Macaca fascicularis: one gene and its partner. Each later gene encodes a partner of the first gene's protein in a complex. Links are inferred from orthologs where the notes say so. Each region holds a gene or a part of one and is shown on either strand. Other genes may lie near its edges. The genes, in order: FNIP1 and LAMTOR3.

The links.
Region 2: FNIP1 (region 1) and LAMTOR3 share a complex: the UniProt entries of both Homo sapiens proteins name them as parts of the lysosomal folliculin complex. The link is inferred for Macaca fascicularis from reciprocal best matches to the Homo sapiens genes FNIP1 and LAMTOR3.

What each region holds. Positions count from the first base shown.
Region 1 is NC_088380.1:138,207,524-138,211,338, reverse strand, and holds part of FNIP1 (folliculin-interacting protein 1), read left to right. Parts: intron 1-2,333; coding exon 2,334-3,753; intron 3,754-3,815. UniProt on the Homo sapiens protein: Binding partner of the GTPase-activating protein FLCN: involved in the cellular response to amino acid availability by regulating the non-canonical mTORC1 signaling cascade controlling the MiT/TFE factors TFEB and TFE3.
Region 2 is NC_088379.1:105,533,655-105,538,118, reverse strand, and holds the start of LAMTOR3 (ragulator complex protein LAMTOR3), read left to right. Parts: upstream 1-1,549; 5' UTR 1,550-1,694; intron 1,695-1,972; 5' UTR 1,973-2,009; coding exon of another isoform or gene 2,010-2,018; intron 2,019-2,334; 5' UTR 2,335-2,351; coding exon 2,352-2,375; intron 2,376-3,964; coding exon 3,965-3,999; intron 4,000-4,464. UniProt on the Homo sapiens protein: As part of the Ragulator complex it is involved in amino acid sensing and activation of mTORC1, a signaling complex promoting cell growth in response to growth factors, energy levels, and amino acids.

The DNA of each region.
Region 1 (3,815 bases):
GAGTTGAACAGGGGAGCCTACTTTTGCCCAAGTGAGGATGCTTAGGTGGGAAGCTATGGACTGGCAGAGATATTGAGGAAAGGGACAGGACATCACATGAGTAAAGAGTAGGTGTTAAAAGTGCAGAGCATATTCAGTGGTCCAGTTTAACTGGGTCTTTGCATGAATAAAGATGATTTCTTCTTCTGACTGCCAAGAAGGAGGATAAGTATAAGAAGATAAAGCTGGAAAAGTAAAATGGGAATCATGAAAGACTCACTTGCCATACCAAAGTAATTTCAACTTACTTGGTAATTCGTGGGAATCGTGGGAGTAATTTAGAACAGTGGCATGGTGATATTTGAGCCAGTGTGTTAGCCAGAGGAGAAAATTTATCATAATAATACCTATAGCATGTATTTATTTGAGACCTATTTATATTTGTTCCTTTAAAAAGTGTGAGGGCTTTGTAAAGTAAAAATAGAGGATTTTAAATGTATATACTAACAACTTGCAAAAATTAAATTAAGTTGAAATTAGTGGCTTTGTATTCTCCTTTTTCTTTTCTTTCTTTCTTGAGACAGGGTCTCACTGTATCGCACAGGCTAGAGTGCGGTGGTGCGATCACAGTTCACTGCAGCCTCAGCTTCCTGGGCTCAGGTGATTCTTCCACCTTTTCCTCTCAAGTAGCTGGGATTACAGGAGCAAGCCACCATGCCCAGCTAATTTTCTGTATTTTTTTGTAGAGACGAGAGTTTTGCCATGTTACCCAGACTGGTCTTAAACTGCTGGGTTCGAGTGATCAGCCTGCTTCCACCTCCCAAAATGCTGGGATTACCTGCATAAGCCACCATGCCCAGCCCTGTTCTCCATAGTTTTGGCACTGAAATTACTGGTTTAATTTGAAGTATAGCATAAATATAGAAATGATAATTTCTAGTCCTGACCCCCTCACTTCCCCTGCTTTTAACATAATCGCTAGTCATGTTTAGAATGGGTTCAAAAGTGAAAATGAATTGCATGGCTAAACTCGTTGCCCTTTCTTTTCCTTTTAGTAAGGATGAGTCTCTCTCTTCCTGCCCCTTCTGGCCTATCCTGTGTACCCAACCCTCTAGGGAATGGAAGGGGAAAATAGGCTCTTACTAACATGGGAGCTGGTGGGATGGGGTGCTGGCTAGGGGAACAACAGTTAAAGTTTAGAGATATGACTTACTTTTTAATTTTATTTCTTTGTTTCTTTTTTTTTTTTTTGAGACGGAGTTTCACTCTTGTCGCCCAGGCTGGATTGCAATGGTGTCATCTCAGCTCAGTGCACCCTCTGCCTCCTGGGTTCAAGCAATTCCCCAGCCTCAGCCTCCCGAGTAGGTGGGACTACAGGCATCCACCACAACACCTGGCTAATTTTTGTATTTTTAGTAAGTACAGGGTTTTACCATGTTGGCCAGGCTGGTCTTGAACTCCTGATATCAAGTGATCCACCCATCTCGGCCTCCCAGAGTGCTGGAATTACAAGCGTGAGCCACCGTGCCTGGCCCCAGAGATATGATTTAAATCAGGAATGATTAAGTGTGTGGTGTGACTACTCTAGCTTTGCTCCATTTTACCGCTACTCCTTTCCTGTCCTTGCAAGCCAGCAGATATTGTGCTTTGTCTTTTCTTGATTGGACACAGCTGCAGAGTCCTTGTGTACATAGTACTTCAGGCAGTACTTCTCTAACCAGGTAAAAATGCTCTTCATGGAGCCTGGGTTAAAGAATATTCTTGGGATATGTGAGTTTCAGAACTGACTCTTTGCTTGAGGTTTCTGAACCATAGCATTTGTTTAAAGAGGAAGCCTGAAAACCCTTAAATTCACCTTTCTTTCTGGTTAAGACTATTCATCTCATCTTCCTCCCTTGAATAGTCACTCATCTGTTAAAGAACTAAGAATGAGGCCAGGCATGTTGGCTCATGCCTGTAATCCCAGTACTGTGGGAGGCCAAGGCCAGTGGATTGCTTGAGCCCAGGAACTCAAGATCAGCCTAGGAAACATGGCAAAACTCTGTCTCTACAAAAAAAAATACAGATAATTAGCCAGGTGTGGTGGCACATACCTATAGTCCCAGCTACTCAGGAGGCTGAGGTAGGATAATTACTTGAGCCTAGGAGGCTGAGGCTGCAGTGAACCATGACTGTACCACTGTACTCCAGCCAGGATTACAGTGTGAGACCCTGTCTCAAAAAAAAAAAAAAAAAAAAAAAAGTAAAACCTAAACAACTACTCATACAGTAAGATTAGGTTTCTGATCATTAAAAATAGCTTACTTAGCTGTGTCAGTAAAGGATGTGTCCAATAACTGATTTTTCCATTACAGGAGACTTGTATGGCGCTATTGGCTCTCCTGTACGGTTAGCAAGGACTGTGGTAGTTGGCAAACGACAAGACATGGTCCAGAGGCTACTTTATTTTCTTACTTATTTTATAAGATGCTCTGAACTTCAAGAAACGCATCTTTTAGAAAATGGAGAAGATGAAGCCATCGTTATGCCAGGCACAGTAATTACTACCACTTTAGAGAAAGGTGAAATAGAAGAATCGGAGTATGTCCTTGTCACAATGCATAGAAACAAAAGCAGTTTGCTCTTTAAAGAGTCAGAAGAAATAAGAACTCCCAGTTGTAACTGTAAATATTGCAGTCATCCACTCCTTGGGCAAAATGTAGAGAACATTTCACAACAAGAGAGAGAAGATGCTCAAAACAGCTCTAAGGAGCTGCTAGGAATTTCAGATGAGTGCCGGATGATTTCTCCTTCTGACTGCCAAGAAGAAAATGCTGTTGATGTTAAACAGTACAGAGATAAATTAAGAACTTGCCTTGATGCCAAGTTAGAGACGGTTGTTTGCACAGGATCTGTTCCAGTAGACAAATGTGCATTGTCAGAGTCAGGCTTAGAGCCAACAGAGGAAACATGGCAGAGTGAGAAGTTGCTGGATTCAGACAGTCACACAGGCAAAGCAATGAGATCCACAGGAATGGTTGTGGAGAAAAAACCTCCAGATAAGATTGTGCCTGCTTCATTTTCTTGTGAGGCTGCCCAGACAAAGGTTACTTTCCTGATTGGGGATTCTATGTCACCTGATTCAGATACTGAGCTTCGAAGTCAGGCAGTGGTGGATCAGATTACCAGACATCACACCAAACCATTGAAGCCAGAAAGAGGGGCTGTTGATCAGCATCAAGAAACTAAACAAACAACTAAGGACCAATCTGGAGAGTCTGATATACAGAACATGGTTTCTGAAGAGCCCTGTGAACTTCCCTGTTGGAATCATTCAGACCCAGAAAGCATGAGCTTATTTGACGAATATTTTAATGATGATTCAATTGAAACCAGGACTATTGATGATGTTCCAATTAAAACAAGTGCAGATAGTAAAGACCATTGCTGTATGTTAGAGTTTTCAAAAATATTGTGTGCAAAAAATAACAAACAGAACAATGAATTTTGTAAATGTATAGAAACAGTTCCCCAAGATTCATGTAAAACCTGCTTTCCTCAGCAGGACCAAAGAGATACACTCTCCATTCTTGTCCCCCATGGGGATAAAGAGAGTTCAGATAAAAAAATTGCTGTAGGAACTGAATGGGACATTCCAAGAAATGAAAGTTCAGATAGTGCCCTTGGGGATAGTGAAAGTGAAGATACAGGTCATGATATGACTAGACAAGTTAGCAGTTATTATGGAGGAGAGCAAGAAGATTGGGCAGAAGAGGATGAGATACCTTTTCCTGGGTAAGTAGGAAGTTTTCACCTATAATGGGCCCTATATAAATATGTACCATTCTTTTCTTTAG
Region 2 (4,464 bases), on another chromosome or scaffold:
AAGGCTTCTCTGAGAGTGAGTTTAAGCTGAAATGCAAAAGAAGAGATTAGTAGGATTAAGGTATGCTAGAGAAATATCTCAGGCAGAATGTGCTAAGTTGGTAAAGTGATAAAAATCTTTATGGAAGTGGAAACAAACTTGTATGATCATAGCATAAGGAATCCAGGGTAGGTGAGAGAATCAATATAGGGGCCAGATCCCCATAAGAACGATATATAAACCATGATGCTGATATTGAACTTTATCCTAAGTCAATAAAGTTGATTTTCAAGAAAGGAGTTAAATGATCCGATTTGGGTTTTTAGAACATCATTTTTGTTGCTCTATGGAGACTGGAGGGCAAAAGAGAATGTAAGAAGAATAGGAGGTTATTGTCAAGAGAGAGATGATCATGGCTTGCACTAGGGTACGAACATAGATAGGTGACTAGTTTTCAAAGATAGGAGGTAGAATCAACAGAACTCTGATTAGATTTGTGACATGCAAGCAGCAATTAAAAACCAGGCTAAAATTTTCTGAAAATTTGGCTATGAAAGGGAGTAGAGGAAAAACAGGGTGGTAGCTGAAAGAGGATGTGATTTCTAAAGAAGCTTTTCTTTTGAGCATCTCGCTCTGTCACTCAAGCTGGAGTTCAGTGGGGCGATCACCACTCAATGCAGCCTCAAACCCTGGGCTGAAGGGATCCTCATGCCTCAGCTTCCGGAGTACCTGGCGCACGCCACGTAAGGCTAATTCTTTATTGTTGTTATTATTATTAGTAGTAGTAGTAGTAGTAGAGATGGGGTTCTATCTTGCCAGGCTGGTGTGGAACTCCTGGGCTCAAAGGATCGTCCCGCCTCGGACTCCCAAAGTGCTGGGATTACAGGCGTCAGTCACCGCACCCGGCAAGGCTTTTTTTTTTTTTTTTTTTTTTTTTTTCCAATTATTATTTATTATATGAGACCTTACTAATTTTTTAAAATTCTGATGTAAAAGGGAACATAGAAAGTACCCGTAATCCCGTGTCTGCATGTTAAAAGTAGACGCTTGAAGTGCTCCAGAAAACCCATGGCTCCTCCCCATTCAATCTAGATAAGGCCTTGAGTAAAGAGCACCCATGGGGAAGTCACAAGAACCTAGGAAACAAGTCAGAAACCTGTGGACCTGATACTTCCAATCACAGGCAATCTGTTGCTTGCTCTTCAGCTCATCACACCATCCCCTCAAATTTCTTCATCTACAAGAAAAGGTTTTAAGATAACGGACCCTGAAAAACTAATGACATTTATACACCCTCTCTGCACAAGAATGTCTTGTAACACATAACCTTGCTTGCATTTTCTGGGGTCCTCGGGGTCCAGCGATCTCGTACAAATCCTCTACCCCACAGCTGACGTCCCTCGGCCCGTGACACAAGGCGCAGGCGCAAGACGCGGCCCGCGGTGGGCGGGGGAGGGGCGGGGCGCGTCGGGCGGCCGCGCCCTCGAAGCTTCCGCCAGGCCCTTCCGGAAATCCAGTATCGTGGGGCGACGGCGTAGAAAGTGCTTCCCGGAGCGCCGAAGAGGTCATCAATCATGTGACGGTGGCTTGAGGAGGAACCTGTCTTTAAAGCTGTCCCTGAAGTGACAACGGAGAGAACCAGGCAACCCAGAAACCCCAGGTAACTGGCGCTACTTTGCCTGGTTTGAGGCCTAGTCCCGGAGGTGGCGCGGGTGGTGAGACTAAACAGAAGGAGAGGGCCCCCTCTTCTTTTCTTTGGGCCTAGCTCTTTGGGGTGGAGGGGCAGGGATGGGGTGGGCTGAGGCAAGGCGTGCCAGCTGAGTACCCGTGGGGGTGTTGGGGCACTCCGACTCCCACTGGGCTCGCTGGGCCAAGCCCTAGAACCGCGGGGGTTTTGCCGGGTTCTGACCAGGGCTGATCTTGCTTATTAAGTTGGGGGTGGGGAGGACGAGGAAGCCAAAGAGGTAAGAGTCACCGGGAGTTTCTCTTCCAGGCGTGGAGATTGATCCTGCGAGAGAAAGGGGTTCATCATGGCGGATGTGAGTGACACCCCCACATAAGAGGAAGGGAGAGTGGGGAATTTGGAGGGGAATACTGAGCGGGGAGAGGTAGAAGATCCTCCCATCCCCACCCATCCCAGTTAATTATTTTCTCTTGTATGTGAAATGGGAGACTAATATGAATGAATTTGCAGGATCCTGAGTTTCTGCCTCGAATGGGGGTGGAGGACACTAAGGTGCTTGAGACTGAGAAAATTATATTCTCCCTACTCACCAATCCAGCTGGGGTATAAGAGAGGCTCTGTGTATTTACCATTTGAAATTCTGAATGATGGTTCGCTGCTTTTCCTGTCAGAATTTGGTCAGTAGGACATGTACCCAGAATACTTTTTTCCAGTAAGTGGTAACAATATCTTATTAGGTTTATTGTGGCAATTTACGATGATTTCTAACCCATGCCTCTTTAGAAACATAACATGAAATAAAATGAGGGGTGTGTGTGTGTGTGTGTGTGTGTGTGTAGGATGAGAGCAAAAATAAGCCAATAGTCATAACATGAAATAAAATGATCATTCGGGTTTGGAGAATAGTAAGTGTTGGAGGCTCAAAACAACAGATATCTGATTAATCCATGCGAGGTCAAAATTGATACCTCAAGTGTCAGTGAAATTCCTGGGATGAGAGAGTGTAATGAGACAAAATAAGATAATCTTCTGGCCGGTGAGGTGGCTTCGTCTGTAATCTCAGCATTTTGGGATGCCGAGATGGAAGGATCACTTGAGGCTGGGAGTTCAAGATCAGCCTGGGCAACGTAGCAAGACCCCGTTATACAAAAAGAAATTTAAAAACCAGGCGCATTGATAACCCTGTAGTCCCAGCTATGCTGGAAGTGAGGCGGAAGGATTGCTTGAGCCCAGAACTTGGAAGTTGCAGTGAGCCCCAGCTTAGAAAAATAAAATAGTCTTATATTTCTTTAGTCTTAACTGTGTTTAGTGTTAAACACTTGACACACTTCGCCATTTATCTTATATTCTGTAAGTCTGGGCTGGGCGTGGTGGCTCACGTCTGTAATCCCAGCACTTTGGGAAGCCAAGGCGGGTGGATCACCTGAGGTCAGGAGTTCGAGACCAGCCTGGCCTACATGGTGAAACCATATCTCTACTAAAAATACAAAAAATAAGCTGGGACGTGGTGGTGGGTGCTTATAATGCCAGTTACTCGGAGGTTGAGGCAGGAGAATCGCTTGAACCTGGGAAGCAGAGGTTGCAGTGAGCCGAGATTGCGCCATTGCACTCCAGCCTGGACAGCAAGAGCAAAACTCCCTCTCAAAAACAAAAAAAAAGACTGTTGCCTCACATAGTCATATATAATTTATTTTAGGTCCTTAAACAGAATATTTTAATAATTATGTTATAATAATATGCCTTACACTGTTTCATTATTTGTTGAGTAGGTGAGTTCAACAAATAATGAAACAATGGAAGGCATATTTTTATAATGTGAGACAACAGTCTTACAGAAGTCATATCACCTTACCCAAGACCATTAAAATGATGGTGGAAAGTCTATCTTTGAACCTGGAAAGGTGTTTATAATGTCTTCTCAAGTGAACACAATAGCAACAGGATATAAAACACTAGTATGAAAATTATGATATATTTTTATGGCTAAAATGTATTTGTGTTTCCCATTTCTAGGTATGCTAATCCATGCAACTTCTCAAAAAACTTTAACAGCACTCTTATGATGTAGGTTCTATATTAGCCCTATTCAACAAATAATGAAATAGGCTTAGGGAAAAAAGGTTAGTTAACTTACTCCAAGTTGCATGACTAGTAAACATCCAAATCAGACAGAGAAAGATAAAACACAGCAAGAAAGGTTATGAATGATAACTGAACGTCCCTAAAATTTGGATAGGACAGGATCTAGAAAACAGTGGAAGGCCTATTATTATAACATGATTTTTTAATATTCTCTTTCAGGACCTAAAGCGATTCTTGTATAAAAAGTTACCAAGGTAAGAAATTTTTAATTTGTTACTGAATAAATTCTATATGCCATATGTTAATTTTATGAAGTATTTTGTCTGTGTATTTTCAATGTTTTGAAGTATCTCTGAGATTTCCTTTAATATGAATATTTTTTGCCAGCATCATGTCCTCTGGAAAATTTTCGTCACAACCGCTTTCCTCATTTATGTCAATAAGTTTGCCTTCACTGAGTTCTCTGTGTATCTAGAGGGATAGTGTCAGCATTCCCTTGGTCACCTGTTTCTTCTATAACTCTTTATTTGAAATTCACTTCCAGCATTATTACTTTTCATTTCTTTGCTGTATTTCATCTTTGTCGGCCAGTTTCCTCTTTTTATTATCTCTTTTTCTAAATGTCACATACTTTATCATTGGGAGACAAGGAGGTACAAAACTACATGCTTTGCTATCTCTGCATGAACTGCATAACAGATGCACAGTGACCAACCATC